3 linked regions of the Drosophila melanogaster genome follow. The protein of the gene in region 1 interacts with the protein of each later gene in a pairwise test. Each region holds a gene or a part of one and is shown in the gene's direction. Other genes may lie near its edges. The genes, in order: Ptx1, Bro and CG8314.

Region 1 (4,722 bases):
GAAATTCCCCGGGGTGCTGAAAGTCGGACCTTGCACCACAGGTGGAGAACCCTTTATCATCATATTGTACTGCATCATCGTCACTCAGGTGAAATTCTCCCCTCTGAGTGGGTGGATCGCTGGAGTACCAGCCAGCCCTTCTAACATTGTGCCACATTTACGTAACTGGGCAAATGTGTGACGGCGAGTTCAAAGGCGGTAAACTCGAGAAGGTCTGAGCAACTCGAGTGGCTTTAGTATTTCGAGGGCCTCCTCTCAGCGCGATTATCATTTCAAGTCTATCTGCAATCTGGGTTATGCCAGTCGCACGTTCTGAGAGGTGGCAGTAATCAACAAAAACATCACACCATGGATTGCCAAAATGAAATATATCCTACAAATATATACAATTATTAAATATATATAAGTGGGTTAGATATTATGAAGCACGTTTAACATGACAGACTGATTCCCATTCTCTACTTCATCTTGTCGAATTGATTTATTTTGTTACTATGGAATGCAGTAAACTTCCTGAGATCTCCAGAGGTCATGAGTTATGACTCGCATGGCCATTGGAAATTATGTCTGATTAGTTCCGTGGCATGTCAGTTGCGGAATACGAGGCTATAAAGCCAGCATCATTTACATCAGTCGGCTGTCTCCCGGACCATTTCCTTCAGCTTCCCCCTTTCGACCCAGCTAAACCCATTCTTCCACTCAAGGAGGAGGATAAAACCTAAGGGAAAGGCAGGCAAATGCGAAATAAAAACGAAAATTATGAACTGCACAAAAGCTGTTGTGAATATTAATAAATTCTGCCTGCTGCTTGTTTCTGTTTCTGTTTCAGTTTCAGCTTCCTTTGAAAGTATCGCTGTCTCTGTGGCTGTATTTCTGTGCTGGCAGAGCGAACAAATCAAAAAGGGGAAAGTCCCAGGGAGGAGATACAGATACAAATACAAACGCAAGGATACGTCAAAAGGAGCAGTTATTTATTTATTTGCGAGGGGCGGTCGGGGGGTTAAACTGGCACAGGCACAGGCACAACAATGGCGGGCTAACGCAGAATAATGGGATAACAAAACGCCCTTGACACCCAGTAAAAGACAGCCAGCCCTCAAAAGTGGGCAAAGTAGCCTTATTATTATGAACACAGCACGTAGCAATTGTCCAGGGGCGGAGGGCAGGGCTCTGCCAGGGGTCCTCAAAGGGGGAGAACGGAACAAAGGACCAAACCAGAGCCAAACCCGAAAGTACAAATCAAACCCTCGAGAGCGGCCAAATAATGTACGGATGAAGAGCGAGAGGGAGAGTGGGCGAGAGAGGGAGAGCACAGCAATGGCGCACTGCAAACACCAGGGTCTGAGTGAGAGAGAGCGAGAGAGTGCCGACTTTGGGGGTGTGTCTTCCACGCACTCGAATGATCGGACCTCCCTTTCGCACTGCCGCTGCACAGGCAGCTCTCGCTACTCGTCGGCCAGAAGACCATCTCCCTCACACCCTCTCGCCGGTGCACGGGCAGAAAAGAGAGATAAGATAGCGGGCAATACACGGGGCTCTTGCGTTCGAAAGGCGAAATTCCGGGGTATTGCGTTCAGTAGCCGCGAGTTCTCGTCGCCAGCACCACGTTTACCGTTAGCACTGGCCCAACCACCCCGCACAACCCCACCAGCCAGATACTCGCTGCATGCGCTGTACAGTGTACACGCATCCAACAGATACTTTTCCGAATTCGTTTTCAATCCAGCTACGTCCTGTTACGGATGCAGACGCGTCGCCTCCGTTGTGATACCAGATACATGTAATTGCAGGTCTAGAGCTACAGATTTAGATACAGAGATTCGAGTACCCTAGCAGATACTTAGCCTAATTACGCCGTGGATTAAACTATTAAACACTTAAATCCGCCAGGATTTGCCTATCAAATCAAATCGAATCGAAATCATATCACTGAGAGTGCCGCGAGTGACTGTGTGCGCGAGTGTGTGTTTCTGTGAAGCGGCAGCGAGATTAAAAACATATCCCCGAGTTACTTAAAATTAATCACTAACATAATCACTGTGATTTTTATTATTTGATCTGCCGACGTCAACACCGCGTGTGCGAAAACTGTTTAACGGCTGGGGCTTTATTAAATGCCGCTTCGCATTTGATTAGCAATCTGTTGCAACAACACAGCACAAACCTACCGATCTCCCCGAGATTTATAGCCCACTGCCCACGCGATATATCCGGAAGATTTTCGGAGACTTTCCCAGATCTCCGGCATTAGAAATGCTGGCCATCTGATTTATTGACGGACCCACGACATTTGCTCCATCAAAGTTCGCCTTTGATATTCGGGATCGACAGAACCAGAGAACCGACGGAAGTTCGTTCCCACCACCTAGTGGATTAATTTTAATTCCTCTCCCATCATTCAGAGGTGAGTCGCAGTCGCATAAAGTTAATCATAACTTAAAACTTGTTACACTGACCTCAGTGATTCTTGAGTTGCTAACGCACGAAGCAAGAAATTATAAATCAAATTTGATTTAGAAATTCAAAGATTTTAGAAATTGAATTATATAGGGATCTTTTAAAAACGAAAGTTATTATCAGCAACAACGATGTGTTAGGTCATAATAGCCAACAGAAGTTTTCCGGTAAACACCTGGCTAGGAACTTAAGCGCCCCTTAATAGCAATGTCAATTCAGCTGATGCTAGGAAAACAGCCTAGCTTTCCAGCGAGGATCAGCAGAGGTTCCCATTGAGGGCCCAGAGCAAGCCCATAAACGGCTTGTTGGACAACGAATTAAGTTTACGGCGGACTCTCACGCCGCGCATAAATCACGGCGGAGTGAGACTCGGATCCGGATTGCCGCCATAAACAGAGATCTCGGCCATTCCGTAAGGGGGCCTCTGGGCTTCTGGGCCAGTACTGTGGGTTTTGCCAAAAAAATTGGAGGAGAGCCCGGCCAAGCGGCGCTGGCTCATTGACGTCACCTGAACAATTAGCAAACAAGATGTGGAAAAAACCTAAGTACACAATGCTCGGACTCGGATCTCCGGGCAGCCGCTAAACTCGAATTTGAATAAAATAATAAAATTAAATAGAAATGAAAGCATGTGGAAAGCCTTGGCACAACATCGGAATCTTGGCACCTTCGCGACGAAGAGGCCGTAAACACACGAGATCTCGCGGCCATAAAGTGGCATAAAATAATTCTGGCATTCTTTGTCTTAGGGAATCATTATGTAAATAAATTCTCACTTTTGAAATAAAATGACGAGGCAGAAAAGCCAAAAGCTGAAAAACACACAAGAAATGGAGCGGAGAATATTCTTTGGCGAAATGGAATGGAAACAATGGCAAACTGGCAACCGAATTATTTATTAGACGCTGCGGCAGATAATTTAGCCAGAAATTGAGACAACTGCGGCAAAGACAGAGCAAATAACAGTATTATAAATATCCCCATCACGGCAATAAATGCAGAACTTTTCATTTCAACGGCTGACCCCCCCCCCCCACCCACACACACACCAACTAACCAATCGTGTGGCCCATAAATTGGCTTGAAGTGAAATTATGTTTATCACGAAAGGCTGCCTATTATTATTGCTGTTGAACAACCGCAAATGGATTTAACATTACAGCCGCACTAATCCACTGGGGATCAAGTGGAGATCAAGCGGCATTATCAGCGAAATCGAAAGTGACAGCTCAAGCCAAGGCATTCCAATTAAATTTAATTAAATTCACTTAAACACACAACTGCGAATTTATGCTGCCGCTAGATTTATGAAATTCGTTCTCGTTTCGAATGCCTTTGAATGCCTTTAGTTTGTTGTGATTGAGATTAGATAACCATTTATTGCAACGTTTCGTTTCGTTTAGTTTGGTTTCGTTAGCTCAGATAGCGGACCGCATATATAACGTATATGTACATATATGTATATGCCCATTCCCGCCCGATATCGGGCAAAGGGGCCTAGGAACCTGGAGAGGTGTTCCCTCCCTTTTTGCTAATTGATTTACGATCGTTTATGGCTATTTTCGTGCTACTGTCAGTGGGCTGTTTTTATTTTTAACGAATTTATTGGACGCCCATGGCACAGTTTATCGCACTACTGACTGTCAGTGCGGCGCTCTACTACTTCTTCGAGCTTTCCCCAATTTCGATTGCCAAAATCCAAAGGCGCCCAGTGTACGTGCAATCATAACAATAATAATAGCGGAGAAATGCTCGCAGAAATGAAAATATTTTACATCGATAAGGCTGTTATCACCTGGCCCCCGCCATCTCCGCTCCAACAGTCTGCTGATAGCAGTGTAGGCGGTTCGGGGGTGCGGTGGTGCGGTGGCTCGGTGGTGCTGTTGTCAGCCCATATGCCCCACCAGATCCCCTCAGGTGCGCTCCGCCAGCCATACGATTTACGACGCCAACTGAAAGAGTCCCAGTTTACCACTCCGTTTGCCGCCGGCTCCAGCATCCGTGGTATTAACCCCTTGACGTGTTTGGTGTTAACTTGCCATTCGGCTGGTGTTTGGGTTAAGCTCCCTGTTTGCCTTCGCCGTTGAGGCGATAAAAGGTTCCACCAGTTGATTTGCCTACCAGGTAGCCAGCCAAGCGATAATTATGTCTGAGTAGCAATGAACCCGATATGACTAACCTTAGCACAGAGCGACATCTCTGAACTAAATCTATAGTTAGTGAAACGAATTAGAAAAATTAGTGAAATACATCCCAGCTTTTCGC
Region 2 (2,981 bases), on another chromosome or scaffold:
GCCAGAGCCGATCGCATCCATTCCTCGCGATCAGGTAGCACCTGAGACCCAGATATGTCGATCACCTGCATCTCCTTGGCCTCCTTCCGCCGGCGCTTGGCATTTTTGCCCACCAATGCGTCCATGGCCTCTGCGTTTAACTGTTGCTCATGGTAGCGCTTTTGTGCAATCTGAGACTGCTCTTCCTGAAGTCGGGCGGCTTCTGCTTCGGCTGCTTCCTTCTCGGCTACCTCCTCTAGGTACTTGCTACTGGCTTCCACCATCTTGGCCGCTCGCTTGGCCACTAGAGCGCTAATCTCGTTGCTGCTCACCTCAGGCAGCTTTTGCTCGGAATTCAGGGAGAAAAAGTCTCCAGTGCCATCTTCGTCATCATCTTCACTATCGCTGGCATTTACCAGCGAAGTGGGTTTACTTATAGGTTTGGATTTTGTTGACTTCAAAGCGTCTTTTGTCTCAGGATTCTTCTTGTGCCCGGCCTTAGGGCCATCTACGCCTTCGGTGTTGTGTGCAGCTCGTCGCTGCTTAACTGTATCGGGAACAAAAGCTGGTGCTGCTCGAGGCTGCGCAGGATTATTGCTTAGACTGGAAGCAAGAGTAGTGCTGGCTGATGGGTAGGCTACCGCGGATGAAGAGTTCTTGGAGAAGTTGCGCTCCGACTTTGCTTGGGGCAGCAGACTCAACAATCCCGATCCCTTGGGTACATTGGGCTTATCAACTTTGTTCTTAGCCCTGTCAGCTTTCTCCTGGTCTACATCTGAGAAATCTCTTAGTGAAGGAATGCTGATTTTTACTTTTCCCTTGACTGGCGGCGGTGGAGGTTTCTCTATTTCTACGGGCAGCGCCTTTTTGTGCAGAAACTCATCGTCTTTCTCCTCTACAATGGCTTTTCCTTTCGCTGCTGTTCGTGGCATGGGCAGGTTGGCAAAGGCGGAAGTAACCTGGTTGTCCACATCCTCATTTTCCAGATCCTTAGCGGGAGCAGTGACTTTTGGTTTGGGTAAGGCTAATAGCAGTCTTCCGTTGGGCGGCTTTAACTCCTGAAGGGACACTTCCTGGGGAACGTAGTCGTCATCTTCATCACTAATGTGACCACTGGTTGATTCCCGAGCTAGATACGCTTCACTTGGTGTGCTCGGCTTGGCTTGGGGTTTTATTACTTCCACTTGTGGTACAGAATTTTCCTCTTCGTTCTCCGAATCTTCATCAGAACTGGCAGCATAAGCAACAAGCGACATGTTTATAAAATTGCTAAAGTTAAACAATACAATACACAACAGCTGTTTAATGTGCCCGGACTCTAGAGTTGTCACCTGCTTGGGCTGCCATGGTTGGCAACTCCCTTTGCTTAAGCGCTGTGCTAACCAACACTGTTAAAATTACCGCTAAAACGTAATTTCGAATTTAAACTTAAAATTATATAGTGCGTTCAATTCGTTCGTTTTATTTATGATAGCATTATACCTGCAATCCTCAAAGTATAATATTCGGAGCTGTAAAAACCCTACGGATTATAAAACAAACCTCAAATAGGATACTTATAAGTGCTATACCTGATCCTTATTGTGTCCAGATGGTTTCCATCCTTGATTACCAGGCGACAATTAGGGGATTCGTTAGGTAGCCCAATCGCTCCCGATTACCTGTTCTACAACTTTTTTTTTTTGTTTAAATAAGGCGGTCAATTTTAACATTGATCAGTACAACTATATCTTTCGGAGAATACAGTTATAACATTAGACATGCATCATCACCAGAATCTCGGAGACGCGGCCGCCATGAATGGAATGATCCCGCCATACGAAGCCATGGCTATGTACGAGCAGCCCAAGCCCAGATTCATCTTCAAGATGCCCCGCGTGGTGCCTGACCAGAGGTCCAAGTTCGATAGCGACGAGCTCTTCCGCCGATTGAGTAGGGAGAGCGAGGTTCGCTACACAGGATACCGGGAACGTGCAATGGAGGAGCGCAGGATGCGGTTTGTCAACGACTGCCGCAAGGGCTATGCGGAGATATCGATGGTAGCTTCAGGAACTAATCTGCAGCTCTACTTCAACGCCAACCACAATCCGTACGCCCAGGAGCAGGATTGCGATTTCGAGCGGGAGCGGGGCAAAGTTCATTTGCGTTCTAGTTTCATCATGAACGGGGTGTGCGTCCGCTTCCGGGGCTGGGTGGATCTGGACCGACTGGATGGCGCTGCCTGCCTGGAGTTCGATGAACAACGAGCCCAGCAGGAGGATGCTCAGCTGCAGGAGCAGATTCAAAGCTACAACCAGCGCATGGCTGAGTCCAGGAGAATCTACCACACGCCCCAGACTCCACCCGAGGATCACCATCACAGAGGTGGGCCTGGTCTGCCTAGAGGACCAATGGGATGGTAGTGCTATATATTACCCTCATAGCTTTAAGTAACATCTAAGTAAATCAACAATAAATATCTGAAACCCATTGATCGTGCTCTTATAATACTGAGATTATGTTTAATACACTAATGGTAATATCTGCTCTCAATTACTAAAACTCTCATTTCACAAGGAGTTTCCGAGTTTTGTGTGTCATTCATTTGGCGAAAGCCACTCATGTTCACCTAATGATTGTTTATCTGGGCCTCCTTAAGGGTTGCTAGCCGGGGTCTTTGGCCTCATTTGCGCCACTTTCGGAACAACCACCACCCGAGCCGACTGCCCGAGGATGGTGAAGTGGGTCCAGCTGCCGTTCCGCCATTCCGCCGTGCTCTCCACTCTCCGGGGTGGGCCTGTCGCGGCTGTGGCTGCGGCTGTCCTCTCTTGACTCTCGATGCGGCCAGAGCACCGGTCCCGTGAGCACGTATTGATTTTCCGCCATTCCGTTTGGGATGCTGCCGAAATAAACTTTGCAACTGCTCTGAATGTGAATCTGAATCCGAATCCGAGTCAGTCTCTTTCCGAACTGAAAGCGGAAAGGCGTCGAGTGAAAATGGAATAGGTGAAGGGAACGCCGCC
Region 3 (3,780 bases), on another chromosome or scaffold:
AGGAAACTGAGGAGCAGAGCGGGTGCAGCACATCCAATGGCCATGTTCCGGTAGAAAGTCAGTGTAGTCTTGTTTTCCTCCACGATTTGCTTGGCGCCCTTCGTGCCTTGTTTACCCTTTTGCTGGGGCTGAAAGTGGACAAGCGGTTTTATGTAATCCTTGAGAGCGTTATCCCTGTGCTAGTTACACTTACAGCCATGGTGGGATTGCAAGTTGTGTGTCAGCTATTTCAAAATCTAAAATCGGACCACTATTTACGTGGCGACGTCTTCAACTGAACAAAACGGTGTTGAAACGACAGTGCTGTGAAACGTGCGCATTACTTATGTTAAGCATGGCCGTAGAGGGAAAGTGATATTAAGGGTAAATATAGCATTTAAAACTGTAATGGAAAGGTACTTAAGCAATTTACTTATTTTAATTTGCTCTTAATATATTATTTACAAATTGTTGCACCCACAATATATTCAATCTACGCCCACGGTGCTGGTTTATTAAAAAAAAAACTTGCCATTCACAGTGAAGCGGCAGAACAGCTGCTGGGCCCTCAGCCTAATAATCGAACTTTGGATTTTGGATTTGGCATAATTTTGATTTTAGCTGTCCAACGAGCTGTGCGGTCACAACATAAATATGGATCAACTGGTGCAGTTGAACAATCAGGCTGGCGGACGGGACAAAATCGCCCGACTTATTCAGTATGCCTCGCGTGCAATGTGGGACTCGCTGGAGTCCGCCAATTCCAATCCAGCGCTTGTGGACAACTTCAAGACGGTTGAATACATCCTGAGCACATTCCGAAAATGTAGGTATTCTAAGGTATTCCACGAGCACGTAGCTAATCTCATTTCAACTCAGTACTCCGCTTTGGTAAGTGCGTTGATGTATTCTACGGCGCTCTGAAGACCATTCACCATCCGGATCTTAACATCCGTGTGACGCTCACCTTAAGCAAGCTGTCACAATCGCTGTTCCTCTTCGCCGATCACTTCCTCTGGCTGGCCAGGACGGGACTGACGGCGGTGAACGCCAAGCGCTGGTCCAACATCGCCAATAAGTACTGGCTCTTCTCGATCATAATGAACTTGTGCCGGGACTTCTACGAGATCCTGAGAGTACTGGACCTGCATCGATCCGGTAGCAAGAGCGGCATTTCGCGCTGCCGCATCCCCGCGAGCATCAACTCGCCGGAGGACTTTAAGCGCCTTGCCCTGCAGTCCTACGTGCTGATGCAGGGACACAAAGACATAGTTGTGGACACGGTGAAGAATGCGTGCGACTTCTTCATTCCGCTGACGGCTCTGGGTTACACAAGTCTCACGCCCCGGACAATTGGACTCCTGGGGGCAATTTCATCGCTGGCTGGACTCTGGGCTCTGCTGGAACCGAGGGCCAAGCTAACGCCTGCATAACACCTGATATTGGAAACTTTGTAGATAAGGGCCTGTATTTCCTTGTATCTATTTTAAGTGTTGTATGTATTGTATTTGTATTTGTGCTCGGATTAAGCTGAATGATAAACAAACGATTTTATTAAACCGTCACCTTGGTTATCCTCACCCTGTCAGCGCCCTTGGGCGAATGGCAAACAGCTGACGCCATATCCGCGGACGCGAATGGCACATTGCTAGTTGTGTTTTCTTGCTTTGCGTTTGCTGTTTATCAAACGCCTTTTGGCTAATGGTCCGCAGTCCGGTGGCGTTATCACGGAATTGACGAGGCCGATGCGTCACATGTGCGTGGGCTGCATCCGGACACCATGAACTACTCGTACTCCGCGCTGTCGCCCGGCGGTAGCGGAGGATTCGGTGGCGTTGACCAGCACAACCGATGTTGCGGAAACAAGGCCTGGTGCGTCAAGGACATCTGCGGCATTGTGTGCGTAATCATGACCTGGCTGCTTATCCTGTTCGCCGAATTCGTGGTCATGCGGCTGATCCTTCTGCCCAGCAACTATACCGTCTTCAGTACCATCAACATGATCATATTCCAGGCACTCGCCTTCCTGGCCTTCGCCTCGCACATACGCACAATGCTCTCGGATCCGGTGAGTTGCTGATGGCCATGCACTTTATACTACCTTATCTATGTATGTAGGCGGCAAAAATGCCTAATAAGCATGAGCTTCGAACAATATTTTTCCTATATTTTCGGTATATGTGTGCAAATAAGATTTATATATTTATTTATAAATTATTATATCTAAATTATCATCTGCTCCATTAACTATAGGGCGCTGTACCGCGCGGAAATGCCACCAAGGAGATGATCGAGCAGATGGGCTACCGCGAGGGTCAGATGTTCTACAAGTGCCCCAAGTGCTGCAGTATCAAGCCGGAACGAGCTCATCACTGTTCCGTCTGCCAGCGCTGCATCCGCAAGATGGATCACCACTGTCCGTGGGTAAATAATTGCGTGGGCGAGAACAATCAAAAGTACTTTGTGCTCTTCACCGTAAGTACATCTCTTTTATCTCTTTCAACCGCCCAGTTAATGCCTCTTCCTTTGGCTGTCGACTTGCAGTTCTATATCGCTTCGATCTCCGTGCACACGCTCTTCCTGGTGCTCACCCAGTTCGCGGAGTGCGTGAAAAACGACTGGCGCACCTGCTCGCCGTACTCTCCGCCGGCCACTATATTCCTGCTGCTTTTTCTCACCTTTGAGGGCCTTATGTTCGGCATATTCACCATCATCATGCTGGCCACTCAGCTGACGGCTATCCTAAACGATCAGACGGTGGGTGCTTTGCTTGCTCTCTCTGCACGGGATTGTATGGCTAACATACTCGCATTCCTCTCTCCAACAGGGCATCGAACAGCTGAAGAAGGAGGAGGCCCGCTGGGCGAAGAAATCGCGCCTCAAGAGCATCCAGTCGGTGTTCGGACGCTTCTCGTTGGCCTGGTTTTCACCATTCACGGAGCCCTCGTGCCGCACAAGATTCAACTCGCACTTCTATTCAGTCTGAGGGATGTGATTGGAATGCGTATTAGCTTAATCGAACAATACTAACCAACTAACAAACGTACAAGGCAACAAGTTGTCGCTACTTGTTGCGCCGCTGAGTGCAATTTTGTATATTGCAATTGCTATTTTTCGATCAATTGTCAACTATATATTTACTACAAATCGTGCATATGTATGTGTGTGTTTAGGCCTAAGCGAAGGAATTAAATATCCATTTCCGTGGCCGGGTGAAGATGTGTACTTACCTGACAGCCCTACTAAATGCCTTGTGTACATTTTGTATTTATTATCAAGTGAGAGTCGCCGTGTCAGAAGACATGCGCCGCATCTCTGATCATCATCAAAAGAGCTTGCTCTTTCTCGGGGCAGCCAAAATTATCCGACATGGACAGGCGAGGCTACTGCTGCTGCTGCTGATCTGTCTGCTCAGTTCAGTTCGGTTCAGTCTGAGAAAAACGATCGGAGATCCAGGAGGTGTCTGCTGGACGTGGTGTGCGCCATTCGAACCGAACGCCGATGCTGTGTTGTACATATTGTTTATATATAGAAAGATAGAACATCACTGTGTTCCCAAAGTGTGAGTGCGAGTGTGTGTGTGCGAGTGTCTGGTGGATTTCAAATTGGAATTGGAAGAGGAATACGTGTATATGCGCTGCACCATCAGCAACAGTTTGAAATAATGCCACAGGCTGAAAATGTGAATATATCCTAATTACACATTTTCCGATTCATTGTGCCCGACGGAATACGCGTAATTACCAGCGGAAAATTTCATTTCAGTGAATCGGAAACGGAAAAATTCAAATTTTTACCGTC

The links.
Region 2: the proteins of Ptx1 (region 1) and Bro interact in a two-hybrid assay, tested with the Drosophila melanogaster proteins (one large-scale study listed by BioGRID).
Region 3: the proteins of Ptx1 (region 1) and CG8314 interact in a two-hybrid assay, tested with the Drosophila melanogaster proteins (one large-scale study listed by BioGRID).

Annotation. Positions count from the first base shown.
Region 1 is NT_033777.3:30,911,181-30,915,902, forward strand, and holds the start of Ptx1 (Ptx1), read left to right. Parts: upstream 1-1,573; 5' UTR 1,574-2,404; intron 2,405-4,722. UniProt on the Drosophila melanogaster protein: Appears to control physiological cell functions rather than pattern formation during embryogenesis.
Region 2 is NT_037436.4:1,646,166-1,649,146, forward strand, and holds Bro (brother), read left to right. Parts: upstream 1-1,703; 5' UTR 1,704-1,739; coding exon 1,740-2,381; 3' UTR 2,382-2,447; downstream 2,448-2,981. Other genes in the region: CG17249 (uncharacterized protein), read right to left, coding at 1-1,235. UniProt on the Drosophila melanogaster protein: Regulates the DNA-binding properties of Runt.
Region 3 is NT_033778.4:15,989,126-15,992,905, reverse strand, and holds CG8314 (uncharacterized protein), read left to right. Parts: upstream 1-1,619; 5' UTR 1,620-1,759; coding exon 1,760-2,047; intron 2,048-2,232; coding exon 2,233-2,454; intron 2,455-2,523; coding exon 2,524-2,736; intron 2,737-2,806; coding exon 2,807-2,965; 3' UTR 2,966-3,223; downstream 3,224-3,780. Other genes in the region: CG8320 (uncharacterized protein), read right to left, coding at 1-128, 194-199; Pex11ab (peroxin 11a/b), read left to right, coding at 634-805, 859-1,412.